5 linked regions of the Macaca mulatta genome follow. The protein of the gene in region 4 interacts with the protein of the main gene of each other region in a pairwise test. Links are inferred from orthologs where the notes say so. Each region holds a gene or a part of one and is shown on either strand. Other genes may lie near its edges.

Evidence for each region.
Region 1: the proteins of PGBD1 (region 4) and ZNF24 interact in binary tests that used the Homo sapiens proteins (3 or more experiments, as listed by UniProt). The two-hybrid records come from large-scale screens. The link is inferred for Macaca mulatta from reciprocal best matches to the Homo sapiens genes PGBD1 and ZNF24.
Region 2: the proteins of PGBD1 (region 4) and NR4A1 interact in binary tests that used the Homo sapiens proteins (3 or more experiments, as listed by UniProt). The two-hybrid records come from large-scale screens. The link is inferred for Macaca mulatta from reciprocal best matches to the Homo sapiens genes PGBD1 and NR4A1.
Region 3: the proteins of PGBD1 (region 4) and ZNF496 interact in binary tests that used the Homo sapiens proteins (3 or more experiments, as listed by UniProt). The two-hybrid records come from large-scale screens. The link is inferred for Macaca mulatta from reciprocal best matches to the Homo sapiens genes PGBD1 and ZNF496.
Region 5: the proteins of PGBD1 (region 4) and MEOX2 interact in binary tests that used the Homo sapiens proteins (3 or more experiments, as listed by UniProt). The two-hybrid records come from large-scale screens. The link is inferred for Macaca mulatta from reciprocal best matches to the Homo sapiens genes PGBD1 and MEOX2.

What each region holds. Positions count from the first base shown.
Region 1 is NC_133423.1:57,126,152-57,132,799, reverse strand, and holds the start of ZNF24 (zinc finger protein 24), read right to left. Parts: upstream 3,635-6,648; 5' UTR 3,561-3,634; exon of another isoform or gene 3,551-3,560; intron 627-3,550; 5' UTR 544-626; coding exon 124-543; intron 1-123. UniProt on the Homo sapiens protein: Transcription factor required for myelination of differentiated oligodendrocytes. Required for the conversion of oligodendrocytes from the premyelinating to the myelinating state.
Region 2 is NC_133416.1:59,216,045-59,222,776, reverse strand, and holds the start of NR4A1 (nuclear receptor subfamily 4immunitygroup A member 1), read right to left. Parts: upstream 3,814-6,732; 5' UTR 3,720-3,813; coding exon 3,626-3,719; intron 1-3,625. UniProt on the Homo sapiens protein: Orphan nuclear receptor. Binds the NGFI-B response element (NBRE) 5'-AAAGGTCA-3'. Binds 9-cis-retinoic acid outside of its ligand-binding (NR LBD) domain.
Region 3 is NC_133406.1:1,727,673-1,733,675, forward strand, and holds part of ZNF496 (zinc finger protein 496), read left to right. Parts: intron 1-2,414; coding exon 2,415-2,547; intron 2,548-3,060; coding exon 3,061-3,168; intron 3,169-4,270; coding exon 4,271-4,384; intron 4,385-6,003. UniProt on the Homo sapiens protein: DNA-binding transcription factor that can both act as an activator and a repressor.
Region 4 is NC_133409.1:155,042,594-155,047,437, forward strand, and holds the end of PGBD1 (piggyBac transposable element-derived protein 1), read right to left. Parts: intron 3,533-4,844; coding exon 1,972-3,532; 3' UTR 1,757-1,971; downstream 1-1,756.
Region 5 is NC_133408.1:112,578,845-112,585,513, reverse strand, and holds the start of MEOX2 (homeobox protein MOX-2), read right to left. Parts: upstream 3,720-6,669; 5' UTR 1,745-3,719; coding exon 1,231-1,744; intron 1-1,230. UniProt on the Homo sapiens protein: Mesodermal transcription factor that plays a key role in somitogenesis and somitogenesis and limb muscle differentiation. Required during limb development for normal appendicular muscle formation and for the normal regulation of myogenic genes.

The sequences.
Region 1 (6,648 bases), on a different chromosome or scaffold from region 4:
GGTAGGGGCATGGGGGAAAAGGTATAAACCTAATTCTAATTTAGTTGAGTGGAATTAATTCAGCAGCTTTGCCTACTACTATGCCAGTGCTTCTGACCCAGGAAATGACACAAGCAGGCTCACCGGTTGTCCAGGGTCATCAAGTTCACTCTCCAAATCCTCCAGCACTGTCACTGCCTCCTCTCCATTCTCTGGATGATGATCTCGAACCCAAGTCTGTAGCTCTTTGGGTAGGATGGCAACAAACTGCTCCAGCACTACCAGCTCCAAGATTTGCTCTTTTGTGTGCGTCTCTGGCCTGAGCCACAGACGGCAAAGTTCTCGGAGCTGGCTCACAGCCTCACGGGGCCCAGGTGAATCCTGGTATCCAAACTGCCTGAATCGCTGTCGGAAAATCTCTGGGTCTGGGAGATGGTTCCAGGGGATACTTGATCCCTCTTCGCCATCAGGATCCTCCTCCAACTTCACTCTCAGAATTTTTTCCTCTTCATCTGGAGTTGGGATGATAAGTATTGAATCTTCTTCCACTGACTGTGCAGACATTCTGATTTATAATATTTCAAGAAAATACAACTGAGGCAGAATATAAGCCTCAGGGCAATACCCCGTTTTCTTCACAGGCACTCCTGAGGCACAAGAAATAAAAGATATATAAATAAGCAAAAATATCCTAAGAATTTGGACTTACACTGGTAAAAGTAAAAGATACTTGTTCTTTGATGGAGTTAAAAATTCCAGTCAATAACCTACACTAGGAATTGGCAAACTACAGCTTCGCGGCCAAATCTAGCCTGTCACCCATTGCTGTACAACTCTTGCACCAATAATAATTTTCACATTTTTAAATGGCTGTGGTCTTCACCACAGTGCCTTAGGGAATGGAGCTCTCTAAAATCAAATGAATACCTAATGATATTTAGGGAATGGAGCTCCCCAAAGTCAAATGAATACCTCATGACAAGTGAAAATGATACGAAATTAACATGAATGTGTCCATAAAAAATTGTACTTACTCATACTTCACGCTACAATAGCAGAGTTGAGTAGTTTCAACAGACTAGATGGCCTAAAAAAACCCAACACAGTCATGCACTACAAAATGATGTTTGGAGGCCGGGCGCGGTGGCTCAAGCCTGTAATCCCAGCACTTTGGGAGGCCGAGACGGGCGGATCACAAGGTCAGGAGATCGAGACCATCCTGGCTAACACGGTGAAACTCCGTCTCTACTAAAAAATACAAAAAACTAGCCGGGCGAGGTGGCGGGCCCCTGTAGTCCCAGCTACTTGGGAGGCTGAGGCAGGAGAATGGCGGGAACCCGGGAGGCGGAGCTTGCAGTGAGCTGAGATCCGGCCACAGCACTCCAGCCTGGGCGACAGAGTGAGACTCAGTCTCAAAAAAAAAACAAACAAACAAAAAAATGATGTTTGGGTCAATGAAGGACCACATAGATGACAGTGCTCTCATAAGATTATAATGGAGCTGAAAAATTCAAGATTCACCTAGTGACACTGTAGCTGTTGTAAGGTTAATGCATTATTCACATGTTTGTGGTGATGGTGGTGTAAACAAACCTGTTGTGTTGCCAGTTTAACACATACAGTTATGTATGGTACATAAAACTTGATAACAACAATAAACGACTATGTTACTTGTTTATGTATTTACTATACTTTTCATACTATACATTTTAGAGTGTGCTCCTTCTACTTATTAAAAAAAAAGTTAACTGCAAAATGGCCTCAGGCAGGTCCTTCAGGAGCTATTATAGAAGGCACTGTTATCACAGAGATGACAGCTCCATGCACGTTACTGCTACTGAAAACCTTCCAGTGGGACAAGATAGGGAGGCAGAAGGCAACGATATTGATAATCCAGACCCTGTGTAAGCCTAAGCTAATGCATGTGTTTGTCTTAGTTTTTAACAAAAAAAGTTCCAAAAGGAAAAAAAAATAAAAACTGGCTAGGTGCAGTGGTTCACATCTGTAATCCCAGCACTATAGGAGGCTGAGGCAGGAGGATCACTAAAGACCAGGAGTTCAAGGCTCCACTGAGCTATGATCGCACCACTGCATTCCAGCCTGGGCAACAGAGTGAGACCCTGTCTCTAAAAAATGAATTTAAAAATAGCAAAAAGCTGGGCCTGGCGCAGTGGCTCACACCTGTAATCCCAGCACTTTGGGAGGCTGAGGCGGACGGATCACGAGGTCAAGAGATCGAGACTATCCTGGCCAACATAGTGAAACCCTGTTTCAACCAAAACGAAGGTTTGCTTTATTTTATGTGCTTAAAAAAATTTTACCACTTAAAAAATAAGGTATTTAAGAACTCCTTGGACTTAAAATATATGTGGAAAAAATGTTCACTTGCTGAGTAACAGATCACATAATATTGAAAAGATCATATGTGAAAAACAGATCACATATTTTGAAAAATTATCTTGCACATAATACGTAAATATTCAGTCTTCCACCACACCATACGTACATTTATATTTATAATGATAGGCATTAATCACAGAAAATTCTATTAAGAAAAGGCACTCGCATTAGCACCTTAACTTCTTGCAGTGGTCCAGTGTCTTGTCCTTACACTGGATGACTCACAGTTTCCCCAGTTCTACCTTCAGGGAAACTGTATGCTGTTTCTGGACCTTTATTATTTGCACTATCATGCCCGTGCTGTTGTTTACGACACATACTAGCAATGAGCCATGCAGCCTATGAACAACAACTTAAAAAAACTTATCGTAACCCAAGCAAGATGAAGACTGGAATCAGAAAAGGCCTTATCAGACAAGTAATACATACTGGTTTAATTAAATACCCTGGAGTGTGGTGGCCTTATAAATAAGGTCTAGCCAACATTGATTTGTTCCTATTCCAAGACCCTGCTTATCAACGGTGCAACTATTTCTACATATATTTCTCTTCCTTTCATGCTGTAGAGCATACTGCTTGTGGGAAATGGAGGGAAGGCCAACGGTCCCGACAATGTTTGGTCAGAGCACCTCGTTCCAGGTGATCGCCCACCTTACTGCTGCATAGACCTGCTGTGTACCCCGATCCCGGCCAGTCCTCTAGCCCCTCTTCCCAGCACTCAGGACGGCGGATTTCACATGACCAAAGACCACCCTGTGACAACAGCGTCGGAACCACGGCACTTCCGCCTGCGGCCGGTGGGACTACAAATCCCAACAGCCCCGCGCAAGTCTCGCCCCATACCACCTCCTCCCAACACGACTCCCAGAACCCTCCGCGAGACGCCAGGGCCTCGAAATAGAACAAAACCGGCCGGTGGGGGAGGGGGAAGGTGAGGGTCTCGGAGGACACCGGGGGTTAGAGAGCACTCTGCAGACGCCGAAGACCCAAGCAAGCCTGCCGCCTACCTCTCCCCGCCCCACAACTGCTAGGCGCGGAGAGCGCGGCCTGTTCCCCGCGCCTCCCGGGAAGCTGAGGAAGGTCCCGGGAAGGCTTCCCCGCCGGCTCCTGCTAAGAGGTCCGCAGACCCTAGCCCGGTGTCCCCCTCCCTCCCATAACGTTCCCCGCACACCGGCGCAAACCTCTGGCTCAGGAACCGCAGCAGCTTCGCTGTCCACGGCAGACGCAGAAACACCGTTCACAAGCCTTTTCCCAGAAGCCCCCGGCACGGGCTGCTTCCGGTCTGCGGGCCTGAGGAGGCGGGGAGAGGTAAAGCCCACGTTGCCATGGAGAAGCTCCCCGGGCGGGGGAGGGGCGGCCCCACGACAATGACCGCATTGAGGCTGCGCTTGGCCTCGCGCCTCGAACAGCCTAGCGTCCTCTGGACCGTTTAAAAGAAAAGTAGAGGACTCTACCATTAAGATAGTCCTTACAGTTTCGCAAGCCCTTTCACGTGCATTATCTTGTGGATCCTCTAAGTAATTCCCTGCAAGAAGGAATAAAAGCGAGTATTTGTGAAAGCTTACTACACTGTGCCAGGCGCTCTCGTCGTGCTTTACATGTCATTTATTTTTTCACAAATAAATGATGTAGGAACTTTCATTATCCCCATTGCACAGCTGAGATAGTTGAGGCACAAATACAGTAAGTAACTTGACAAGAGCTCACAACTCATTTGTGGGTAGCAAGATTTGAAACCAAGACGTGATTCAAATCTTTGGCTCCCACTAGTTATGTCACGGAGCTTTATTCTGACCTATTTGTCAGGAAAACTAGATGAGACAGGTTAAGGGTTTTGGCAACGATGTCACGGTGAATTTGTAGAATGCATGGTCATCTTCAAGCTGGGCATTTTATACCATAAAACAGCTGCTGACGCAATCATTTATTACAAATCAGACCACTTCACTCCCCTATTTAAAGCCCTCCAATTTATGCCATAATAATTTATGACATAAAAACTCCTTATAATGTCTTGTAAGTCCCCCATGGTCTGTTGCCTGCCCGCACCCCCAGACCCTGGCGCCCCCAGTCACCTCAGCTCTTCAGCTCCGTGTGGCCCAAGATCCTCAGCCTCACCGCCAGCCTTTCATGACACATGACCCTTCATGGCACTATTATTAATGGAAGTGATCTCATTTATTTACTTGTTTTTTGTTTTGTTTTGCCTTTAAGTCCCTTAAGGGCAGGGACCTTGACTGTCTTGTTCACCACAGCATCCCAGCCTAGACCCAGGAAGCTGACTGCCTGGTAAATAGAGAACACAATAAATGTTTGTTGAATAAATAAATGAATTGTGGGATGGTTACATTGCTGCCTTTAGTTAGGTCACATGATTGGCATCAGACACCACACAAAGGAGCCCTGTTGTTTAAGGACTGGTCAAAAGTGTAGATCCAACCTAACATAAGCATTTCAAGTTCCTCAGGCTTTGACTTTTTGCCTCATTCGGGAAAATGCCCTCTGCAAAGTGCCGTCAGGCTCTGCTGGGTTCGTGCATGAAGACAGCAAGTGAGCCAGCAGCTGATGGTATACCATTGCTTTTCACTCCGACCAGAGCCTTTCTCACAACCCGTGCTAACACTTCTCTCTTCATTGCAGGAAGCTTCAGAAATCCAGCCTTTTCACTCTGCTACTTGGATACGGCCCCCAAGCAGCTTGGCTGCTCTTCCCAACTTTTCCCTCTTTTCTGATTCATAAAGGCTAGCTGAAGTCATTTTTGTTTTATGAGTTTTTACATCTAATTAGTGTTGGAAAACAAAAATCTCAAACGAAACCTTGGGGAAGTTAAAAATGTTGCAAAGTTTTACAAAACCCTTTTCCTGTGATTATATTCTGTTTGTTTCTGTCACCCAGGATGTAGGGCAATGGTGCAATTTTGGCTTACTGTGGCTTCGACCTCCCGGACTCGGTGATCCTCCCACCTCAGCCTCCTGAGTAACTGGGCATTTTATACCATAAAACTGGTGCTGATGCGATTATTTAAAATTACAAATCAAACCACTTCACTCTCCTAATTAAAGGCCTCCATTTTATGTCGTAATAATTTATCTTGAAATGCTTGTGGAAGGCTGGACTTACACTTTTGACAAGTCCTTAAACAACGGGTGTGCTCCACCATGCCCAGCTAATTTGTTTGTTTGTTTGTTTGTTTTTCAGAGATGAGGTCTTCCTATGTTTCCTGGACTGCTCTCCAACTCCTGGGCACAAGTGACCCTCCTGCCTTGGCCTCCTAAATTGCTAGGATTGCAGGTGTGAGCCACCGTACCTGGCCTCCATTCTATTCCTAATTCCTTCTAAAATACTACATGGAAACCACAGTGAGGTTTTCCTCACTAAGTTACTCTTTTGAAGGCAGACGCTAATAACACCTGCTTTGAAACACCATCCTTCTGAGGTCCTCTGGGATTTTTTCTGAATGGTGGCCCTTGTTGCCATCTTAAAGGTCTAGTCAAGATAAAACATCATGTTCCTCTGGACAACCTGAATGGAGGGGGCAGCTTCATACCAGGGCCTGACAATCTTGCACATATCCACATAGACCACATAGGCAATGCCTGAACCACAGCTGATCTGAATCTTGGCAGAACACCTTGGTATCCTCCCAGAAGATGAGCGCAATGAGAGACTTGTAAGCAGCTCCTGCAAGGCCATTTCCCACTCAGCTCTCTGTCTTCCAAAGAGACTGTCATGAGGCAGTTTCTCATTGCTTCCCGGGTTCCAGTGAGCCATTCTGCCTTAGCCACTTAGAGTACAGCCACAGGTTATAACAAGGCTTAGCTGCAGCATGGCATTGACCCCTCAGCAACAACGTGTCCACAACGTATGCTGTAGTCATCCAGCCCCTTCTGTTTTGGTGTCATCATTTTGGTATCTGAGACAACAGCTCATGGAGAGCTGGCACTTGCTTTTGCTTTTAATGTCTGTGTAAATAATAATATGTCTAAATTCAAAAAGGGCTCATTTCTTTACCAGCCAAATCTTTCAACCTTGTCTTGATACCAAACATCTGATTCATCAATTAATGGTAAAACAAACAAAACTACCAGACAGATACTACCTGGGTACCAGAAATATAGAGATTAATAAAATGAAGTCATGATTCCTTCTTTGTTTTTCCCTTTAAAAGAGATGGGGTCTCACTCTGTTGCCCAGGCTGGAGTGCAGTGGCGTAATCACAGCTTGCTGCAGCCTCAAACTTCTGGTAGGGATCCTCCCGCCTCAGCCTCC
Region 2 (6,732 bases), on a different chromosome or scaffold from region 4:
CCTGGTTCCTAGTCCAAGGCACCCTGGGCACCTGGCCTCTCCTTCCAGGGTGGAAGCCAACTATGTGCCTCACCCCACACCCCAGCCTCTTCAGCTCTCCCCTAACCCCGTTCAGCTAGAGTACCTTGACCCACATCTCTCCTTCTCTTCCTCCACCCACTCCAGTGCTCTCTCCTCTCGACTACGCTCCAGAGTGAGGGCAGGACCAGGCCTTCACTGGCTATTGGACTGCCCTTAAGACCGATGAGGTCTGGGAAAAGAGAAGGAGATGATGGGAGCTAGGAGGGACAAAGAGGAGGAGGACCCCAGAGGGTGGGCAATGGGCTTCCTCGTCCTCCTGACCTCTGCCCAAGGTCTACAGGCCAAGGGGAGGACCTCTGGCCCACAGTACCCAGGCTCTCCCCTTACGACATTACCAGCACCCCTCCCTCCCGATCCTGTGGGTATGATGGGGAGCAGGAAAAGGCCACAGGAGAGAAGGAGGGAAGGGAGGGCAGACTGGAACATCTGGAGCATCTTTAACCCTAAACAGAAAGCAAGACGAGGCTTCCAATCTGCCCCAGCCCATGGACTACACCTGCTTTCCAGGATGACAGTGTCATCCTCCCATCCCCTGGAAACTGGTCTATAATTTCCCCCAGCCTTGTCTTTTCTCCCTACCAGCCCACTGCTGAGAAGGAAGGGTAGGGAGGGCCAAATACCACCTACCATAATCAGGCCCAACCTGAGCACCCAGCTCTTCCCCATCTGGTTCTCAGAACAGGGGCCAGAGTCTGGCACCTGGTGGTGCCCACAAATGATTTTAGCATCTTCAAGCAGGTATCTGTTTCCCTGCCTGCTCCAGATCAAAATGCCCCCCTCAATAGTCACACCACAAGCATTTACTGAGGACCCCCTGGAAGCTAGGCAGCGTGCCCCGAACCACAGGAGAGCCAAGAATGAGCACACCAAGATCCCAGAGCCCCAGGATCTGATAAGGGATGAACCAAGGTCAAGGACAATCTGCACTGGGCAGAGGGCAAACCAAAGGCTGAGTGGGCTTGGCGGAGAAAGTGACCCCCAAAATGGGGTGGACCATCAGGCCAGATTTCAGTCCCCAGTTCCTGCTCCCCACCAACCTCATTTCCCAGCCACTCGCTGTGGTCCCGTCACATGGGCCTTCTCTCCCCACTCAGGGCCTCTGCATCCACCGTTCCCTCTGCCCAGAACTGGCTCTTCCTGATCAACCAGGTTTCCATTCCCATGTCACCTCCCTGAACAGCTTGTACCCCCACCCCACCACACTAGCCTGATTTTTATTCATCAGAGGTCTAATGTTCACATCTGTTCACTGGTTTATTACCTGTCTACCCAACCAGAATGTAAGGATGCTGTCCATCAGAATCACTGCAGAATCTGCAGTCTCTAAACTCTGCTCAGCACTGGCAGGTGCTCAGTAAGTGTGCGTGGAAAGGTGGGGGGTGCACATGCCTGCATTGGAGCTGTGCTGGGAGGAAGGTCAGCTAGGTGGGGACAGCATTCCAGCTCAAGAGCTGTCCCTTCCATTTGGGGGCAGATCCAAGAGCCAGAGCGTTCTTCCTTATGTTGAATCACATCCCTGACTCTAAAAGTCCCTGGATCCCTGCTCTGTCCCCTGCACTGGCCCACAGGAAGCCTCATTCTAGTCCTTCCTAGCAAGTATTTTAGTCTTTTCTTAACTAAACTGCTCCTTGCAACAGGACACCACTGACAGGCCCTCTGCCTGACAGGCCCTGGTGGCCTCCTGAGTACAAGCTCTACATTGGCCAATATCCCTACCCAGAAATGGGAATATTACTACTATTAGCAATAACAACAGCCGCTAATATTTGTTAAACAACATGTGCCAGATACATTAAGCACTTTACATGCATTTTCTCATTTCAGCCTCACAATGCTATGAAGAAGGGATTATTATTATAAACATTTTACCAATGAGGAAACTAAGGCCCAGAAAGAAATGTTAAGCAACTTGCCGAAGGTCACACAGCTAGGAATTGGCAAAACTGAGATTAGAACCCAGGGAGCCTAACCAAGGAGTCCAGAATCAGGCATTCTTGCTCCCCCTACCGCCCACTTGGACCTGTGTAGTGGATGGAGGCTTCACACTGCACAGAGCAGTCCCACAGCCTCCGTCCAGGGAACATGTCAGAAGCTAAGGGCCTGGGTTCCTGGGCCTTTGAGCCAGGCACAGGGCCTGAACTCCTCAGCTGACTTTCTTAAGTCCAGCAGAGGCCTCAGCACAGGCCTCGTCAGTCACATTCACATTGTTAATCTCAGCCCATCCTTCTGCCCAGTTGCCTTCAATTAGAATCTTGATTTTATACTGTGCACTTGTCATTCCTCACAGCTCTGCATGACTACAAGGAGTCGGCTGACTTCCTTTTTAAGTCTTCATCCAAGTCACCGATCTTAAACGTTCACTTGGAGTAGGTCTAGGAGCAAGTCTTGTAGCCCCACCACTAGGGCTCCAGGCCAGGCTGACAACAGCCCCCAAATCCATCAGCACCCACTGGGCATAACTGTTGTGAAACCGACCTCTGCTCAGCCTGCGTTTTCCCAATGTGCCGCTAATACTAGCCCCACATCCAAATTAACAATTCACTGTAAACCACCTCTGTAGCGTTTCCCCTATCCACCAGGTCATCTATCAAAAACGAAGGCATAAAAACGATATGAGCCTGCCAGGCGCGGTGGCTCACGCCTGTAATCTCAGCACTTTGGGAGGCCGAGGCGGGCGGATCACAAGGTCAGCAGTTCGAGACCAGTCTAGCCAATATGGTGAAACCCTGTCTCTACTAAAAATACAAAAATTAGCCAGGCGTGGTGGCGGGCGCCTGTAGTCCCAGCTACTGGGGAGGCTGAGGCAGGAGACTCACTTGAACCCGGGAGATGGAGGTTGCAGTGAGCCGAGATCACGCCACTGCACTCCAGCCTGGGCAACAGAGCGAGACTTCATTTCAAAAAAAAAAAGGGGGGGGGGTAGGTTGTGGAGGGGAATGAGCCAAGTCAGGGAACTGTGTCCTGTCCTCAACACAGACCACCATGGTAAGGAGGTCTGGAAATACCGCGCCCCCACCCCTCCCAATACAAGGAGGGAAGATGTTGCGGCAAAAAAACAAAACAACCACCAAAAAAACACGCCTGGGAGACACAAGCCCCAAGTCCTAATCCCCAGCTCCGCCTGATTCCACGAGACCCCTAGCTTTGGTTTCTTGACTCAGTCCCGTGAAGGGGTTGCATCGCGCAGCATCCGTCCCTCCCGGCTGGGTCTCCTGGTAGACTCCTGGAAGCTCCCGCGCTCCTGGAACCGGTTCCCGCAGCCGGCGGGGAAATGGAAGGAATTTCTCCGGCCTGGCCACCTCCAGCGCCCCTCGTGGGCCAAACCCCACCCTTGGCGGGCTGGGGAGAGAAAGCCTTGGCCGTCGCCCTTGGGGACTGACTCTGAGCCAGCAAGTTCCGCTGGGAATCCAGTCCCTCCCCCGACTCCCCAGTTTCCAAGCGGGACTCCGGCGTGGCCCTGAGCCCGCCCCAAGGCATCCACTAAAGACCCGAGATTGCCCAGCCTTTCTGGGGCCCACCTCCCGCCACACCGGCAGCCCCTCACCTGGCCCCGCGGGCTCCTCTAGCTTCTCCACTCCTGCTTTCCGGGGTCGCGCACCAGCAGGCCCTGAGCTGCTCTGCGCCGCAGGGGCGCCCATGCCTGGAGGCCGGGGGTCGCGGGCGCCGCGCTGGGACCCCGCCAGTTCCGCCGCCGCCGCCGCCTCGCGCTCTTGCAGCCGCGCCGCCGCCGCTCGGCGCCCCCCGCCCCCAGGAAGCCCCCCGCCCGCAGTTCCGGCCTCGCCGCGCCCCCCGCCCCCGCGCCCGCGGCCGCCCGCGCGCTGTCCCAGCCCCGGCGCGCCTCCCCCGGCGGGCGGGGCGGGGACCGTGACGCGTGCCCATTGACGTCTCCGGAATCCCGGCGGCGGCGGCCGACGCAGCCTCATCAATGGGGCTAAAAATAGCTGCGCCCGGAATAGCCGCGAGCGCCCCGCCCCGCGGCTCCCCCTACTCCGCACACCCGGTTACACAACCAGCGGCCAGAGCCGGGGAGCTGGTTCTCAGGTGAAGGTGCCGAGGCCTCGCTCACACCTCCCGAGGCGGCGCACCTGGGGCTAGGTTATAAATAAACTTACCCGGGGCTTCCCCAGGAAGAGGTGGAAAGAGAGAGGCCCAGAGAGACTCGGTGGCGGCCGAAAGTCACACAGCGATTCGGCTACTGGCGAAGGCAGGGCCTGGCCTTTTGAGTCTGCGGGCGCCCTGCCTGCATCGCTTGGCATTCATGCCATCCCAAGGGCAAGGAACCCAGGTAGTAGAGTACCCAGCTTCCACACGAGAAGGCAGCTTACAGAAAAATAGGACTTCCTCCTGAAGAGGGCACTGCCCGAGGTGGTGGTGCAGGCCCCGGCAAAGCCCAGATGATGGATTCACTGACCTGGCTGCTCCCATACCGCTGTGTGACCTAGGGCAGTCACTTGACCTCTCTGAGCCTCAGCTTCATCATCTCTAAAACAAAGATGATATGATCAGATTATCCACCCTATCTGGCTGTCAGGATGATAACAGCTGTGGAGGTGCCTTGTACACAGTAGACCCTGAGGGTTAGTTCTCCCTGCTCTCCCCAATCCACAGGAGTGTTTAATGCACTCAGAGACCCACCACCGTGGCCAGGAAGCCCTGGAAGGCCCACCCTCCTCTGACCGGAGTCTCCAGGCCCAGGCTTCCACGGTAAGAATCTTCCTGGGGGTGCAGGCACTTGGAAGGTTTCTCTCTCCCATGTGACTGGAGCCTTCTTTGGAAATGGGAGAATCATCCTGTCCTGAGCAAATCCTTCTCCCCCATCAGCTGCCCACTCAGGAAAGGCTGGTCAGGAAGGCCAGCTCAAGGTTGGAGCAATGGTGTTGGGGCTGGCTGGGTGGGTGGGGTTTGGGGTTACCATCTCTGTTCCTATACCTCCATACAGGCAAGGTCATTGGGGAACACCCATTAGGGAGGATGCAGTCATGTGCTCTGCTGTGCCAGCCACTAGTCACTGCTCCCTTTTGGAGCCACCTTAAATTATGAGCATGCTATACAATCTCCAGCACCCAGGCCAGGCCCCACGCAGCAAAGAATCTCTTCTGTGCTCAAAATTCTCCAAAAGAGGCCCCACACCTCCACTCAGCCCTCATTCCAGGGGCTGCATTCCTCTCTCCACCCCGCTGCCCACCCCCAGAAATCCTTTGCTGGACCAATCCTAAACTCTTGGTGAAACTCGGAATTCCCTTTCTCTCATTCTTCATAATGATCCCAAGAACCTCTGGTTTGTCTCAAAATCACCTCCCAAGAACCTGTACATTTCTCTCCCAGGTTCAAGTATTAGGTCAATTTACAGATAAAGAAACTGAGGCTTCAAAAATGGCAAGGTGTCAGGGTGGGGGAAAGGGACAGGCTTTTCCTCACTCACCCTGTGTCCTCCTCTTTCCTACCCCAGCAGCTCCTTTCCGATGGGCTTCTTAGAGGAGCAGCTACCCCACCCCCTCTTTTCCTTTCTTTTTCCAGAAGTCTAACTTTTGAAATACATTTTAAAATATTTGCCTGTGTGGGAGAAATACATTTATTTAGACAGGAAGGGAAAAAAAGGGCTCAGTTACCAGTTTTTCCATGAAGGCTTCCAGCCCACAGAGGTCTCTCCTTTCCATAAATACTTTCAGCATAACTTGTCTTTATTATATATTCTCCTATTTATAATCAAATAAAACATATTCTAAAATGTGGAATGCCAGAACACGCACACTTAGGGTGGCATGTGGAGGTGGCGTGAGATGGTGGAAGAAGCAGTCTCTAGAGGTCTGGGATGGACACTGGTTGTCAGAGGACTGAACAGCTGTGGAGGTGCCTCGTACACAGCAGGCACTCAGAGTTAGTTCTCCTCCCTGCTCTGCCCTAGGAATGTGATTTCCCACAAGAGGCTCTATCTCTTAGCAGCTGTGTGGCTTCAGGGAAGTTACTTGCCCTCTCTGGGCTTCAGTTTTCTCACCTCAAACACAAAGATAAGAAACCTATCTCACAGGGTTGCCATGAGAGTGTCTCTTTGATAGCAGACATAAAGCATGGAGTCTGGCACATCGTGGCAGATCTACCATTTCCATACAGGAGGACTTGGAGGACTTGGGACCTTGTCTTAAAGCTGTACATCCAAGGTGCTTACCCTAGCTTTGCTCAGCTGGTATGTTTATTGGGAATACTGGGGGTCTTGGGGGTTGCACAGATAGGAGCAATGTCACCTCTTAGTCATTACAAGTGTCCAGTAAACATCAGCCCCATTGTTGTCTCCCTGATCCAGGTCACTTGGCTAAGGAGTGGCCCAGCCAGAACCATAGCCCTGGTCTTCTGTCTCCATAGCCCAGGTCTTCTGACTCCCAGGCCAGTGCTCTTTCTACCCAGCCTCTTGTTCCTTCATATCTGATTCCTCTTTTTTCTACAGGCACTGCTTCACAGCCCCTATTGCAGATAGGAAAGGTGAGGAGAGAAAAGGTGAACAACGTGCATGGCCCAGGGAGTTGGAGCAGAGGGGAGACAGGCCCCACGGCCAGTGACGCCCCACATTGTGGGAGGTTCCTAGAGGACAAGCTCCTACGCAGAAAGCTGACTCCTAGTCTGATGGGGTGGCAGGACACAAGAATAGGTATGGAA
Region 3 (6,003 bases), on a different chromosome or scaffold from region 4:
GGATTAAGACAGAAAAGTAGCACCAAAAATTTGGGGTGCTACTATTAACAAATACAGCATGGAAGAAGCTTGGGAACTGGGTAGTGGGTAGAGGCTGAAAGGGTTTGAAGTGCAGGCTGGAAAAAGCCTGTGTTGCCGTGAGCAGGCAATTTTTTTTTTTGAGATGAAGTCCTGCTCTGTCACCAGGCAGGAGTGCAGTGACGCGATCTCTGCTTGCTGCAACCTCAGCCTCCTGAGTAGTGGAGATCACAGACGTGCACCACCACACCTGGCTAATTTTTGTGTTTTTAGTAGAGACAGGGTTTTGCCATTTTGGCTAGCTAGGCTGGTCTGGAATTCCTGACCTCAGGTGATCTGCCAGCCTCAGCCTCCCAGAGCGCTGGGATTACAGGTGTGAGTCACCGTGCCCAGCCCATGAACAGACTATTACTGGTGATTCTGGTGAGGCTCCAAAAGAAAAGAGGAGATTTGATATTCTCAACCAGAATGTTGGTGAAAATGTGAACAGTAAAGCTATTCTGATGAGATCCCAGATGGAAATGAGAAATGTGTGGTTGGCAATGGAGGAAAGGCTATCCTTCTTATAGTGGCAAATCACTTGGCTGAACTGTGCTTATGTATTAGTGTTTTGTGGAAGGTAGAACTTACAGGCCACTGCAATTGGATATGCGGCCACAGAAATATCTAAGCAAAGTTTTGAAGGTGCAGCTTGTGAAATGTGAAAAGAGAGAAGTGATTTAAAGATGGGACTGTTACTTAAAAGGGAAGCAGAACTTAAAGATCAGGAATATTTGTCAGCCTATGTTGATAAGAGCGAGCCAGCCTGTTTAGGAGAGAAGATAAAGGTTTTGCCATTGAAACTGAGGCTGGGAGCTAGTCCAAGAAAATGGAAAAATGACCCCAAAAGCAATTCAGAAATCATCAGAGCTGTTCCGCCCATCACAGGCCCAGAGCACAAGACCCGCAGCAAGCAGGGGACCATAGCAGAGAGCCCCGCTTCAGTCACCCCTGAAGCCCTAGATGGTAGGGCCATCAGCAAAGTTCCAGCCCAAGAGAGCCTTGGACCTCTGAAGGAGACACAGAGCTGCCACAGAGGTGGAGCTGCCACAGAGGTGGGGCCACCACAGAGAACCCCCTTGAGGGCAGGCCCTCACTAGGGGCTGCCATGGGGCAGGACCACCCAGGGCCTTGGGGGCTCAACTCCTGCCCAGTGAAGGTGCCACCTGTGGGTTTGGAAGGTGGGGTCACCTCCCAACACAGTGGGCCTAGGGAGCACGGTATCAAGACAAAAAGGATTATTCTCGAGATTAATCTCAGGCCGTAAACCATAATGTGCTGTGACCTGTAGGTTTAGGACTTGCTTGGGACCTGTTACTCCTTTTCTTTTTTTCTATTTCCCTTTTTTGGAATTGGAATGTTTATCCTGTGCCATTCCACCTCTGTGTGTGTGGGGGGGGGTTCTTTTTTTTTTGAGACGGAGTCTCACCCTATTGCCCAGGGTGGAGTGCAGTGGCACGATCTCAGCTCACTGCACTCCACCTGCCAGGTTCAAATGATTCTCCTGCCTCAGCCTCCCAAGTAGCTGGGATTACAGGCACCCACCACCACGCCGGGCTACTTTTTGTATTTTTGGTAGGGATGAGGTTTCACCATGTTGGCCAGGCTGGTCTCAAACTCCTGACCTCAGGTGATCTGCCCGCCTTGGCCTCCCAAGGTGCTGAGATGACAGGTGTGAGCCACCACGCTGGCATCACCACTATATTTTGAAGGCACATAACTTGTTTCATTTCACAGGTTCACAGCTGGAGAAAATTTTGTCTCAGGTAGAATTGTGCCTTGAGTCTGAACCGTAACTGATTTAGATAATATTTAAATGAGATGTTGGACTTTGGACTTTTGAATTGATGCTGGAATGAATTAAGACTTTGGGGGTTATTGGGATGGAATGAATTTGTTTGGCATGTGAAAAGGATATGAATTTGGGGGGAACCGGGGCAGAATGCAATGGTTTCAGTGTTTGTATCTCCCCAAAATTTGTGTTGAAATTGTAATCCCCAAGATGATGGTATTAGGAAGTGGTGCCTTTTGGGGAGATGATCTGGTAACAAGGGCACAGTCCTCATGAGTGGGATTAGTCCCTCCTAAAAGAGGCCCCGGAGAACTCCCTTGCCCTCTCCATCTTGTGAGGACACAGAGGATGCCTGTGTTTGAACCAAGAAGTGGGCCCTCACCAGGCACCCAGCCTGCTAGTGCCTTGATCTTGGATGTCCAGCCTCCAGAACTGTGAGGAACAGATTTCTGTTGTGTAGAAGCTGCCTGTCCTACAGCATTGAGTTATCACAGCCTCAATGGACTAAGACTGAGACACCTAGCTCGTCCCGGACTGAGGCATCCCTGTTCTACTGTGCTTTCAGAATCGGGTTTCTCCGTTCAAGGACATGATTTTATGCTTCTCTGAAGAGGATTGGTCCCTTCTAGATCCTGCCCAGACTGGCTTCTATGGAGAGTTCATCATTGGGGAGGATTGCGGGGTCTCAATTCCTCCAAGTAAGACTTAACTTTCCCCCGTACCTCAAGACCAGGGAACTGGGCAGGGGGTTCTCACTTGGAGTAAGAGTCAACTTCGTCCCATAAGATCAGGGAAGCGGGGCCTGCATCATATTTCTCTGTTCACCCCCAACCTGGATGGGAAGTCATTTGCACACAGCGGCCCTATAGGCAGTGTGTCCGACTGATCACCTGCCATCTCACCTCATCAGGCTTATCAGAACCAAATAGAACATGTGCTGTATGTCCATTTCTCTTCCATCGCTCTTACCCTTTCGTCCCTTTACTTCTGCTTTACACCCAAAAGCCTCAGAGAGACCCCCAAGCCCATAGCTCTCCCTGCGTGTGCTGCCCCCACTGCCCCTGCGCTGCCGGCTCTGGCGTTTTCACTTCTCGCCCCTGATGGTGCCACGCCCGCTGGGCATCCCTCCACCTTTTCTCTTCTGGACCAGCCCTGGTTGCTGCAGGATCAGATTACTAATAAACATGTATCCTGCCTTTTTCTTTGAACAGATGAGCTAGCGGCCCAGCCGGATCTCTCCCAGAGAGAGGAGAATGAGCCTCGCGTTCCAGAGCCGCAGGATCTGCAGGGGAAAGAAGTGCCCCAGGTCTCCTACTTGGGTGAGTAGTGATTCCGGAACTGAGTGGACAGAGTAGGGTGAAGGGTTGCTGGCAGCCAGAGATGAACCCATTTGCTGGCTTCTCTCTGCAGCCCCTACTTGCCTTCTTCATTTCCCCAGACTCTATGTGGGTCTTGCATGTCTTGCCTTGTCCCTGACTTTTCATAGAAAGAATGGGGGATCTTAATTTTGCCAGGCATTGGGATTGTACTCCCTCAGCCAAGGACTGGGAAATAATAGGAATGTCTGTCTCCTCTGCCTGTAAGTAACATCTGGTTTGTGCTGACCATACAGCGGCCCCTCCAGGAGTGAGGTCAGATACTCACGACAAGCCTGGTTGCAGAGGGAGTGTCTCCTCCTAACTGGGCACCGAGCACAGCCCTTTGAGGTGCCTCACCTGTCTAGTCTTCCATCTGCCTGGTGCAGGGGTGCTGTGAGGACACTGGGGTGTGGGGAGGTGCTGGGGCTCAGCAGCAGCAGTTTCCAGCCCTCCTTCAGGCTGTGTCACCAGCGCTTGCACCCATGATCTCCATGCCATGGTGCTTCGAGGCACCTGCTCCTTCAGGAGGAAATTTGACAGAATCAGCAGCAGCTCCACACCTCCTTCCCCTTTGGGACCTAGAGCGTGAAGCAGACAAGGTTTTGACACACCATCCCCACCTGGAACAAGCGTTCAGAGACGGCGTAGCACAGTAGCTCCTGTCCCATCTCTACCCCGTAGGCTCTGCACAAGCTGTTTGTGCAGGATGTGTGCAGAGTGTGCAGAAGCCTGTGGTGATGACTACGGAAAACCCACCACAGAAAGTGGGAATAAATGCGGGGCTCGGGGAGGTACTTGTCTCTGCCATAGAGTAAGTAGAGTAGAACCCGGATCTGCGTAGACTCTGTCTAGCTTCAGAGCTCATGTTTGTGGAGTTGGCCCATTCTGCCTTCAAGTTCATTCGCTCAGCAGACACTTCCTGAGTGGCCGCCCCCTGCCAGTCCCCAGGAGGGAGCCCAGGGCCGCCCCCAGATCATAGCCTGGCATCTGTTCAGATAGCACCCTTCCAGGTAGTGCTGTAGGTGCAAGACAAATCAATTTTTCCGTTTCCTCCTCTGGAAAGACTCTCCAAGTCTCCAGCCATTCCAAGTAGAAGAAAGGAGGAAACGTGAGGAGCTGCAGGTGCCGGGGTTCCAGGCCTGCCCACAGACGGTGGTGCCTCAAAACACCTACCCAGGTAAAGAAGGGCCAGGGAGGTGTGGGGTGTGTGCCTGTGTGTCTGTGTGTTCACGTGTGTATCTGGTGTGTCGCATGAATGTATGTGTGCACGTGTGGATGGGGGATGGTGGTGTGGAATGCATGTGTGCGTGCATACACACGGTGTGTGTGGTGTGCTGCATGTGTGCGTGTGTGCGTTCCCAGGTGCACCTGTGTGTTGGGGGCATGTGGGTGTGTGATGGAAATGTGTGGTGGTGAGGGCATGGGACAGTTAGGAATTGAACTTCTTAGGATCTCCGCTGACCGCTGCGGTGGTGTTCTTACCTGCTTGCCCAGATTCCTCTGTGCTGTGGTCATTCTCCAGCTCACTCCCAGTCCCAGGCTCACCCTCCTTGCCTTTTCTGGGGACCAGGGAGGGTGTGTCAAAGCAGGGTGCTGCTGTAGTGCTGTTGGTGATGTGCGAATGTTTTTCTTCTCTCAGCATGGATGACCAACATCCTGGCACAGGGTCTTGGAATTGGGATTAAAGAGCAGGTTTCTAGTGTACTGAAGCTGCACAGGACTCTTGGAAAGTGTATGTTCCATTCCTGCTTTCAGAGAAATAGCCACAGTGTAGACTCTGAGTCGTCTTGGTAAAAGTCACCACCTCCAGAAGCAGAGGCTGCAATGCTGCCGTCTTTCATAAGTTCTAAATATCAAACCCAAGCCTCTGATTCTTACCGGAACCCACGTGTCACTGTAGTTTTCTGCAGCTATGGAGACCGACTCACACGCATTATGTGTTCTACCTGTGATGCTTTTGAAGGCAAGATTTGTGCCATTTTGACCCAGCTCCATGCATCTTGTACTTGGCCCCCTTTCATGCATGGACAAAGGGGCTTTTCTAGTGTGGGAGATCTGAAAGGATGAGATCCTGCTCCACAAGCATGGATGCCCACCCCTGGTTTTCTAAGAAGCCCACCTCTGCATGCCAAGGGTGATGCATTCATTTGGGGTCCACGTGGAGTTCAAGCGCAGGCTTGATGTTTGTGATGCACTTTGAATCTTCTCCAGCTTCTTTCTGCCCATAGCATGTCTCTCAGCCCTATTAATATACTTTTAGAAGATGGATGGATGTTCATTTGTACACAGGAGTTTTCAACTCCGTTCTTCCCTTGTTGGACTCTGACACAGACTGCTCTGAAACAGTCAGAAGCCAAGGGTTGCTACTGAGAAGGGAGAGATGATAGATTTCAAAGAGTGGGCACTGTTTTTATTTTGGTAGCTCCTGCCAGCTTGCCTTCCTAAAAGGCTTTTCCCGCCAGCTGATGCCGGATAGCTGGTGACAGGTCTGCTTCTCTATATCCACGCCCACACAGGACACTCCCAGATGTTGCTTACCCTCTGGTGTTTTGGGCAGACTTCTAGCAGTCTCATCTGCTTTCTCCAAGGAATTTTCTTCATATTGTTGTGTTGATAGCACATAATAGGACTATCCTTGATTTATTTCCCCTTTTGTAGAAATTATGCATCGAATTTTGGTCATTTTAGCTGATTTGAGGTGATGTTGTCCACTGTGAGCTATATTACTCTGTTAGGGCTTTCATAACAAGTACCACAGACTAGGTGGCCTAAACAACAGAATTTTATTTTCTCACT
Region 4 (4,844 bases):
GATGCTCAGATTTGCTCTTCAGAACTTTCACAGTCATTGTTTGGAGACAGGTTTGGGGAGGGGGAGGGTCAAGGAAGGGTTTGGTGAGCAGTCAAGCAACATCACAGAACTGTGGTCTGAATGATGGCAAAGAGGTTGAATGGTGTGAATAGATTCAAGAGGTATTAGAGATGAGTGGTAGAAGAGGGTGACAGGTAACATTTAGGTGTCTTGTTTGATACCTGGGTGGTCAATGATTAATATTATTTACATAATTATGGAACCCTGGAGAAGAGAAAAGCAGATTTAGAATGTGGGAGATATAAAGTGCAGCCTTTGATAACTGCCAAGTGGGGATGGCTAGAGGGCTCTAAACATCAAGGCAGACATGAAAGTGAAATAAGAAGTTATTCTGTAACTATTTCCTGCCTATATTAGCAATTACTATCTGCACCACTCACTCATCATTTAACTAAAACCTGCACTCTATTAATACCCTTTTGTGGGTAGGTACTTAACCAGACACTTCATCATTTAAAAGTAGAAACCAACCCACCCTGGTGATGTATTTCACAAAGAATATCAGATCAATTACAGGAAGTAATGAACTTATATTTTCTTTGAACATCTTGCATGGAATAGGTGAATCTGTGACATTACGCATGGCTTACACTTTCACCAGTCATCCACATAATAAACACACCTGTTGAAAGAATTCAAACCTGACCACTTGCCTTCCAGCCAGGAAAGGGACTGTAAATATTAGGATATGAAAGAAAGGCAAGGAGCTGTTGTGGCTACAGCCCACAGAAATGAGGTGGAGCCTGTCTTCTCTACCCTCCAGACTAATCCACCAATACTAGACTTCAACACTAAGGAGTCACAGTCCATATCATTCACTTTTCCAAGTGTTTCTCCTTCAGTTACCTATCACTGATGACCTTAAGCCTAGATATCTGATCAGGTGATTTCAACATGGTCTTTACGTTGACTTTATGCCTATCTTTTCCTTAACTCTCCCGGTTACTTATTACCCTGATTTGCTTCATGTTTCCTTGATTTTCTTTACTCTCCTGACTTCTGCTGCCAACTCACACCATCACCACAGGATACACCTATCATTTCAATATTCGAAGGCACTGCTTCACCTCTGGTTTTTCCTTTATAGCATTCTCCTTTAATATCCATGCCTGACCCTTCTCACTTACACACAATCCAATCCAGTTTTACACCAATGCTAAGGTTTTTAGTCTCCTACCACCTATGTTTTGTTTAGACCATTCTTACTTCATAAGCTGTGTCACTAGTTTGAACTATGGAGTCAGCATCATTCTATGGTTACTATGACATTGCTTGCATCTTAAAAATGGCCGTCTTCAGAGAATTTTTTTAAAGAGGTAGGATTTCATTCTTTAAATGCACAAAATAGCCGGGCATGGTGGCTCACGCCTGTAATCCCAGCACTTTGGGAGGCCAAGGTGGGCAGATCACGAGGTCAGGAGATCAAGACCATCCTGGCCAATATGGTGAAACCCCGTCTCTACTAAAAATACAAAAGTTAGCTGGACATGGCAGCACGTGCCTGTAATCCCAGCTACTCGGGAGGCTGAGGCAGGAGAATTGCTTGAACCAGGATGTCGGAGGTTGCAGTGAGCCAAGATCGTGCCACTGCACTCCAGCCTGGCCACAGAGCGAGACTGTGTCTCAAAAAATAAATAAATGAACGCACAAAATAGTCAATTGAACAAATAAAGGATTTCCCATGTCTGACACAAAATTTGACATAGAGAAAAGTACTACAGTTCAACATTTTCACAGATAATTTTTAACATTGTTACAATAGTCCTTGAAACTAAATGTCTGATTTTTAAAAGTATTAATTATTTAATAACTTCATTACATATATCAGATTTACTTCGGGAGGGTACAACAGCATGTACAATTATTTTTCTATGTCTTATTAATGTCTGCACTATGTCCATTTTATGTGCCTTAATCTGACAGATCAGCATTGTGTTCCAAGTAGAAATGTGCAACAAATCTCCGAAAATCCAAGGGGTCTAGGGAAGCACCTGGGTTACAGGCTCTGTGTAGTTGCCATGCATTGTTCATGGCTACATCAATCACGTAGCTTACCAAAATTGAGTACCATTTCTTGCTTCTTATCCTCACCCGATACTTTGAAATAATTTGATCCATTTTAGCTACACCTTCCTTGCATTCATCATACACTTTTACTATGGATGGTTGACTTATCTGAGGGATTTCCTCATCATCAGCATCACAATAACTTATCTCATTGACTGGTTCTATGCCCACAGCATTGGAGCACAGACTGATAATGCCATCCCCATACCAACGACATAAAATTATCTCATTGTTTTCTTCTACTTGGAAATCAAAATACCCTCTCTTCATTTTTTTCATATGTTCTACATTCATAAGGGGACATTTTTCGGTCCTGTTCTCACGAATTGTTCCTGTTGCCCTCACCCCCTTCTTCTTCAAGGCTGACAACAATTTGATACTGGTAAAGAAGCTATCAAAACACAGGTGATAGGGATACTGACCTCTCTCTAAAAGAACATCAGCAAAGTTCATTACTAGATTTCCACCTAACCCAAGGTCAGGATCCTCATCTATCTTCATAGTTGATTGTTCTTGATAGGGCTCAAACCAAACCAGATAACCCTGTGTGGTTGTACCACACCAAATTTTATATCCAATTCTAACAGGCTTTCCATTCAGGAATTGGTCACTATCAAAGCATTCACACATTGACTTATCAAAGCAATAGTATTCTTCCAAGGGAGCATACAAGAGGAAATTTTTATTCATTTGTTTTATGAGAGGTCTCAACTTTGTAAACTTATCTTTTTGATCTAGGTGGCCATTATCTGCAAAGTGCAGATTTGAGAAAATCAATTCAAATCTGTCCCTTCTGATTGCATCTCTAACCAGGTTCTGATTGGTGTCAGAGATTTCCCAATACATTCCCCTTCTAGGATGCCTCATAAATCCACTCAAAAGTAGGACACCAAACACACACCTCATTTCCTGAACTGTGACTTCCAAGCTGACATTTTTCTGAGAAGCATAATTATTGGTTTCATTGACAATTAAGTTGAATGTTTCATCATCAAAAAATAATTCAAAAAGCTCTACTGGATTCAACTTTTCACTCTTGAGATTCAAAAGTCCAGAATCTAGTGCTGACCAGCTTGGAAAGTTGGGTTTAATGTCTCTTTTGGTCCAACTCTTTTCTGGGAAACAAGACACCTTTAACTTCTTTTGAGCAGGCTGGATCTCAGGCTCATTATCTTTTTCCACATCTGAGTCACCAGAGAATGAGAGACCTTGGAGCAGTTCACTCACTCGAGCTTTGTCTTTTCTTCTCCCTTTTCGAGTAATGTCTCCTGCAGCATATTCCAAGGATGAGATGTGCATCCGGGCCCACAAATCACCTGGGTGACGGTCCTTCAGAGTGTTCAAATGTGTAACTGTCCTTTCAGCAGGGATAGGAGTACTACAAGGAATCTGGGGTGCACACTCTCTGGGAAAGAAAAAAAGAACATGTTATAAAAATCCTCAATCATATTCTCTCACACATGATAAATCTGCTGAAGCTTAAATCTTTCGTGGCTTGGGGTGGGGAGGAGATACTTATTTCTCTTTTTTTCCATGGGAAGGACTTTGGCTAGATTGAACATTTCTAGCCTCTCTCTACCTCTTACTCCTCAGAATGGAACTAACTGTTGAGCCTGGGAGAAAGAACTGGGTATCCTTGGTACACCCCTCTCTCTGTCCTCTTTAGGAGCAGGATGCAGACATCCCATGCTCCTTGGTGCCCCAAGTTGCATTGAGAAGACCTATGCAGAGGGACATCTGCTACATTCCTCCTCTGCCAGTACAAGCCTATTTAGCTCTGCCTTTAAGCCGTTTTTATCTGTTCTAACTTCTGTCAGTAAGAAACTGAGGTTTCCAGAACCATCTATTTTACTCCTGCGACCCTGTCAATTGGTTCTGAACCTGAACACGAAACAAAGGTTATTATTTACCAGGTCTCCTCACACCTCTCACAGAATTTCTGAATATGGAAGGACTTAGCCCCTGCTAGTTCTATATTCATCTGATGGACATACTACTCTGGGGAAGAACAAATGAAACTCAACTCTCAACTCATTGCACTTGGACTGATTTTTATCAGGTCTACAAGGAAGTAAGCTAAAGTTACAAAGATGAAATTTTTTTTTTTTTTTTTTTTTGAGACAGAATCTAGCTCTGTCACCCAGGCTGGAGTGCAGTGGCATGATTTCAGCTCACTGCCACCTCCGCCTCCCAGGTTCAAGCGATTCTCCTGCCTCAGCCTCCCGAGTAGCTGGGACTACAGGCACGTGCCACCATGCCCAGCTAATTTTTGTATTTTTAGTACAGACAGGGTTTCACTGTGTTGGCCAGGCTGGTCTCAAACTCCTGACCTCGTGATCCACTCACCTTGGCCTCCCAAAGTGCTGGGATTACAAGTGTGAGCCACTGCGCCTGGCTGAAAAGTATTATTTTACACAAACTTTTTAATTTTTAGATATGTGCATTCCTTGATCACACTGAGTCTTTCTACTGTTGACATCTAAACTCTAATAGCTACAGTGCATTAAGCCCAATATTGTGAGGGAAGGAAATGGGAGTGAGAAATGGGAAAAAAGAGTGAGCTAAGAAAGTGGGGTGGAGGTGAGGGAGGGGGACTCAAAGCAGGGCAGGGGGCTAGACCTTTGATACCATGGTTAAGCTATTGCACCAAACCTGAAATAGCCTACCTTCAGACTTTTTGTTATATGAATATCTTTATTCTTATAGGCACTGTGAAT
Region 5 (6,669 bases), on a different chromosome or scaffold from region 4:
AATACTTCAAACCAACATATGGGATTACCTTCTAGGACTATTATTAACCCAATTCCGCAGAGGAAGAAAAATATGCAAATATTATATTAAACAAATGATATCTTCCAAAAATATGCAATCCAGGTTGCACTATAGCCACGAAAGAAAACTCACAAGTCTCTTAATTTTAAAGTATCTTTTAACAATTTTATGATAATACAGGTAGGTAAGAGCTTTGAAAAGTGGTCTGGAAAACTTTGAGTTTCTCTGGATTGCTACAGAAAAGTTACTCGGCAAGTGTGTCTTCAAGTACCAGAGGTCAGAAAGGTTTCCCTTTTCCGTGGCTGCTCAAATTATCCCCCACTAAAATCAGCGCCTCCGACGCGCACCCTTACATACCACCTTCAGGCACGTAGCTAACTAACACTACCCGAGCTACTGTTGCTTCGCTGTATTTGTCTCTACTAATACCCACTTGGTAGAGGGATTTGTTTTCCACTTTTGAAACGTTGATTCTGTAATTAGCTTACACCACATGAACATGTACTATTAAGGTTCGTCTTTCTTCCAATGTGAGCATCTATTTATTTACAATTCTCTGACACATTCCTTAAAATCTGAATTCCTAGATAATGTCTTTTTCCCCAATAAAGGGAAAATTTTACCATTTAAAATAGGGTGCTATTTAAAGAACGCTGAAATAAGAATGTTAGAAAAAAAAAAAAAAACTAAAACTTTTTTTTTTCTCATGCGCTCTGCCAAGTTCCACTGCAAGTTCCAAATATTGTGCAATGATTTGGAAATCCAGTTAACGATGGGAAAAATCGAGCCACTCACAGTCGGGAACTTGCAAGAGAAAAGTCAAGAAGCGGCACCCGCACGCACGCCTGCCCAACCGACGCTGCATCTCTGGGCGCACGCCCCTCCCTCCCCAGCGCTGGGATGGAAGGTCACGCTTCGCAATCGATTTCACAGCCACTTGTCCTTTTTTATCAACCTTCTGGTAAACTAGTTTAGGACCTTGGAGAGCTTAGAGCTGCTGGCTGTATATGCATTGCTCTCGGATAAACACGTGTCCCCCAAATATCAGGACCAAAGCTTCACCGCCGAATTTGGCCGCGGGAAGCCACAAAGGGCAACACATTCCCATATTCCCCGCTGCCACCCTGTAGTGCGAGAATCTCCCCTGGCATCTCTCCGCCCCCTTTCCAGGCCGGCGCGCACTCTCGAGGGTGCCTGGTGAGCCCTTACCTGAGCTGTCGCTTTTCCTCTTGCCACCGCTTCGCTTCTCCGCCTCCGCAGGTGACAGTGCCTGGCGGCCGTAGTCCCCCGGCGCGCACGCGGCCCCAGTCGGGGTGCTGGAGCCCAAGCTGGAAGAGTTGGAACACAGGACCGGAGGGCTGCTCCCCAACTCTGGGGGCCCTCCGGAGTCGGGCTGGAGGCAGAGGCTGTGTCGAGCCGCACTCGGTGGGGAAGACATCTGCGGGAGGTGCCAGTTGGTTTGCAGAGCCTGGTGCTGCTGCTGCTGATGATGGTGATGGTGGTGGTGGTGGTGGTGGTGGTGCCCCCTGTGATGCTGGCTGGCAAACATGCCTTCTTCGTTGGGGTATCCCGCGATTATGCAAGATGAGGAAGAAGTAGAGAGCTCGGGGTAAGACATATGGTCAGATCTTCCATGGAGGGCGAGAGAAGATTGGGAGAACGGGTGCAAGCCTTGCGCCGTGGCGTGAGGGCTGCGCAGGCAGCCAAAGAGCGGGTGTTCCATAGCATGCAAGTTTCAGGTTCCAGGCAGAAGACTTCAGGACGGTTCCAAAGGCCACCACCCTCTGTCACTTTTCACTGGAAACTGTATGATTTTTTTTTTACCCTCCCAAAGCAATAGCCGTGCACTTCTGCAGAGCTCGGATAATCCCGGTTCTGAGCCCCAGCGGCCAGTCTCCTTTGCATATGAACAGTCGGACCTGGAAGAGCTTCCCTGAACTACTCAGATGTCAAGAGTGGGAGAGGTTGAAGCCAAAAGAAGGTGGTCCCAGAGAACTGCTTTCAGGGGGAAATGGCTCTGAGAGGTTATAAATAGAGTGTAACGTGAGCTGGGGGCCGGCTTAGGAGCCCAGAGTTGACCACATGCAAACTCCCTCCAAAACTCCCGCTCAGTTTGCGCCACGCGCTCCCCAGTTCCACTTCCTATCGCCTGCTGGACAGACGCAGAGCGTCCACGCCCGCCCAGCACTGCCGGCTGCCAGGGCTACAAGCGGCACGCCAGTGCCTAAGTCCCGCCCGGGAGGGCAGCAGCTCTGCCCTCCAGACTCTGGAGGCCTGGGCGCGGCGCACACCACCCCCAACCCAGCACCCTGATTCCTACCTACTCACTTTCCTCTCCGGGAAACGTGATTTGTCAGTGTCATTTGTGAACTGTCACCTGCAGAAAAGCTAGGGATATGCCTAGCCTTTCAGGAACCCAAAAGAAGTAATAGGGTTAAACGAAAAGATCAGAGCTAGTTAGGCGCATCCTCGAAGTTTTTCAAACTTCGCATCTTCCAGTGCCCTGGGCGCCGCAGCGCGCCTAGGTTTTCACAGCTGGTTTCTGTGGGTGGATTGTTAATGGGCTGGGACGCCAGATCTGAGGTTGTGGGGATGAGTACCATGGCCTGGAAAAGGCAGTTCTCAGTGCGGAACCAAGAGGGACCCGGTAGGGTGGGTGGGAGGAAGGCGTGAGTCTGAAAGGGTTGCAGATGCCTGTTCCCTGGCATCCTCTTGTGCGATGCCAGGTGGAGTCTCCCTTCCCCCTCTTTCCTGGTCCCGCTCAATTTCCTAGCCACTTGTCCACCAAGAAGAAATTTTCCTGGGTCAAAAATATTTCCAGGCGATTTTGTCCCGGTCACATGAGATGTGTAGATTGCACGCACATATCTAGCCTTTCCCCTCAGGAGCTAGCCTAGGTCTCCGCAGTTTCCTACAGAAATCCACTCTCTTCCGCTCAAAAATAAATCCGCTAATCGCATCCCTTATCACCACCGTCCCATTTACTGAGAAATCTTACATTTCGATAGCTCCCAAAATTCACTAAGCTTGGGCACTTGGCTATAACTTTGCATCCCTGAAAATAAATTAGAAAATTTGCCTCCAGTAAGCATGCAAGAACGATGGCAGGGCTTTGAGACTGCCACTTGTTTGGCGGGTGACAGGGTCCGCTGGGGGCAGAGTCGTTTACACACAAGTGAGTGGCTCTGTAATGAGCAGGAGAAACAGTCAAGTCCCATCTGGGACCTGTCGCATCAGGAGAATATCTGTAGTCACCTATTCCGCCCGGGGCCCCAAATGCACCACCAGCAGTGTCGCCCCGTTATTTTCATTGTCTCAGGTGTCCAGAGGATGATGAGCAGGTCTTTGAAGTTGTTAGTGGGATTAATGGGTACAGCAAACTGGGCTAGACATCTGGTTTGAATTAGGAAAAAGTATTGATTAATCTTTGAGAGGTGTCCCCAAAGCAGAACCTTCCCCCTCCTCTTCCAGTCCCCCTGCTTAAGCCTCACTATCTTCTTTTCTTGTAAGTCATGCTGTAGAATAGTGGCTTCTCAAAAACATCCGTGTGAAAGATCGAATTGTTTTCTATTGCTTAGAGGTGGGGTGGAGTGGGGGTTGATCAGGAATTCTGAGATTTGTAAGCGCTGCTTTCTTTAACGGAAATTGAGCTCTATTTTGAGGGAAATTAGTTTTGCAGACTTCGTTTAAAAAAAAAAAAAAAACTAAAACTTTTGTTCACCAGCTGCTCAGCTTTTCAGTCTGGGTCTGAGCTGAAACCTGCTGCAAGTCTTTGACGGTAAGAATTTCTTTGCCGATACTTTGGGAATCTAATATTGTTTTAGACTTCGAAAGGGGGTGTTGTTCAGGTTGCACGTTTCTAGGGGCTTTAAGCACTAGCAGGATGGCGTCCAGGACTTAGATCTTAAGAATATTTCTTCCTGCCACTCCCCACGCCCTTGGCTCTTTAAGAATAAAAAGAGGTGGGGGAGTTATAGTCCTCTAATATCGTCGGAATATTTTTTGTATTTTCATTGTGTTTATGGTTTCAATATGTGCTCTGATATTAAAAGTTAAAGTACAAAGAGCAACACTAAACTTCCCCAACTTGTGTAGCTTCTCTATGGATTCTAGGTGAAAGCATTAAAGGCTTTATTTAAAGTGAGATTTAGGCAACCACCTCAATAAGCCTAACCAGAAATATTTACATAATACAATGCTGTCAACTAAAGCATTGTGGAAAATGTCAGACAAGACAGACTAAAATTACACATGATCTGCAGACATCAGTCCAAAACATCCACAATGGTCCTTTTGGTTTGCATTACATTGGTTTAGAGGAAGCTAAGCAATTACCAAATGAATGGATTTGAATTTAACCAGAGTGTTGCAGGTAACTAGCAACAAGAACACACAAATCTTTCATCTCCCAGAGCTGCCACTTCTTCTTAAACCTGCCCAGTGACTGTGCTGGATTTTTTCTCACTCATTGTGTCAGATGTTAACAATCTGTCCAGAAGTTTCTCTACAACCTGCCCCAGTCAGTCAGGCTCTAGAACTTTTTCTAGAAGAAAAATTTAGGAAAGGTTAGAAAAGGAGGAAGTCATTGCAAAGGCATGCAATGAAAGCAAAGGTAGTAAGACAGGTCTTTTTAATTGGAGACACAAAACATTTAATATCAACAAAAATTATGAAGTCCAGTTTTCTTATAGAAAACACAACATAAGGAAAATATTTGAAAGGAAAAAAATGAAGGACTAAAAAGGAGGTCTTGGTAAATTCCAGAATTAAATAGGACTTTAATTTTCTCTGGATTTCTAAATATGTATTAATCATTACATAAAGATTTTTAAATATTAATTTATTCAAATATTTGGAATAAGATAGAATATTGAATTTTATGTTCTAGGTTTTAGAGAAATTTTTAAAATGTAGTAAAAACAGGAAAAAAAAATCCTTAGCTTTCCTATAACAGCTACTTCAGTGTTCACATCCATAAAATCCAATATTGAGAAGATGCCTCTTTATTTAATGATATCAAGAATGGTAAAAATTATAAAGTTTATCATAAAATTTATATAAACAATCATTTAAAACTATATATGACATAGTATTTATCTAATATTTGCAATATACTTGAGTTTTCCTGAAGAAAAGTTATATTAATGCCAATATTTCATGGAAGGTTTCAATATCCAGTAACACATTATAAAGAGGTTGATTATGTGAAAAGGTAAGCTACCTAGCTCTTGTAGGCTCCACAACTATAATGATTTTAAATGTAGGCTAGGTTCTTTAAACTTGATGAGTGTGTATATCTATTGCTTCTTTGGCTTAAATATAATGACATTCAAGAGTAAAGGTAGAGATTTTTTTTTTATTAGGACTATTTTTTTTTAAGCGGAATAGAACTCATATTAAGCAACACAACAAAATTGTATTTACATTTTACTTTAAGATTCATGACGATTCTTTTAAAAGTTGCCATTCTTCTGCACACGTGTGACATGAGTTATCATGGTACTTCAAATATTTAAAATTAAGTAGGAAATTTTACTTTGAATTTTACCTAATAGGTAAATTTTCCTTGGTAACACATAGTCGTAATATAAGAACTTAAGGATGGATAATGAAATTAATATTGTAACTTGTTTCTGAAAACTTTATTGAGTATAGAAATATTATTTCTGTTATATTTTGCCAAAAAGTAGCAGCTACGTCCTTCAGTTCCTTCTTCTAAAATAAAGAATTTTGAAAATGTATCCAAATACGCTAAATACCCAATGGTAATTTATGTGATTTATGATGTACTTTATTTTATAAAACTAAGGAATTGATTTTCCCCCGGAACTATGCATTATAAAATTTATGGAACAATTTTGCTATGGTTAATGCATGTTATTTAGTGATTCCATATACTTTTACACATTTTTTAAATGTTATTATTTTTACATAACATTAATTGGTACGTTCACAATAAAACTTGTTGCATTCATTTTACATGTACCAAAATAAATGAACACTTAAAACCTTACTTCTAAACTGTAAAACAATCCAATGTACTTTGTTTTTCTAGTTTCTAGGTCTTCCTGCATTTACATTTATTTCTTTCAGGAATTAGTGGTTTTCTTCAGTTCAATTCCGGTATACTATAATCAATGAAACTGTTCTAAACACTAAATATAACTCTGCCTAAAGCAATAAGACAGAAAACAAAATAAATCAAAATTAGAACTATTTAACAGATAATCTTTAGAAAGCCAGCATGCAATATAGATTATGACTAATAAAATTAAATCTAAAAGATTGAATTAAAAATCAAAAATATATGCATTCTTTCATAACATGTATTCACACAGTTAATAAAATTCTAATGATCTTTTGTCTTTCTTTTTCTTTTCTATTTTGTGAGGAGTATTATGATTGGGAAGACATAGATTGCCTCTCAAATTTCAAAAACTTCTAACTGGACTTCCTTTTGTTCACCTGTTTTAAATCCATAATTATTTGATAGTTACTTCATAATAATGCTAATAGACAATAATTAATTTCTACATTTTCATTTGCATTCATGTTGTATGTTATTTTTATTGATAAATGTAGGCCTTTTCAAAATTTTATTATTGAAAATTATATCCTTTCCAACACAGGGAAATGTACAGGCAAACT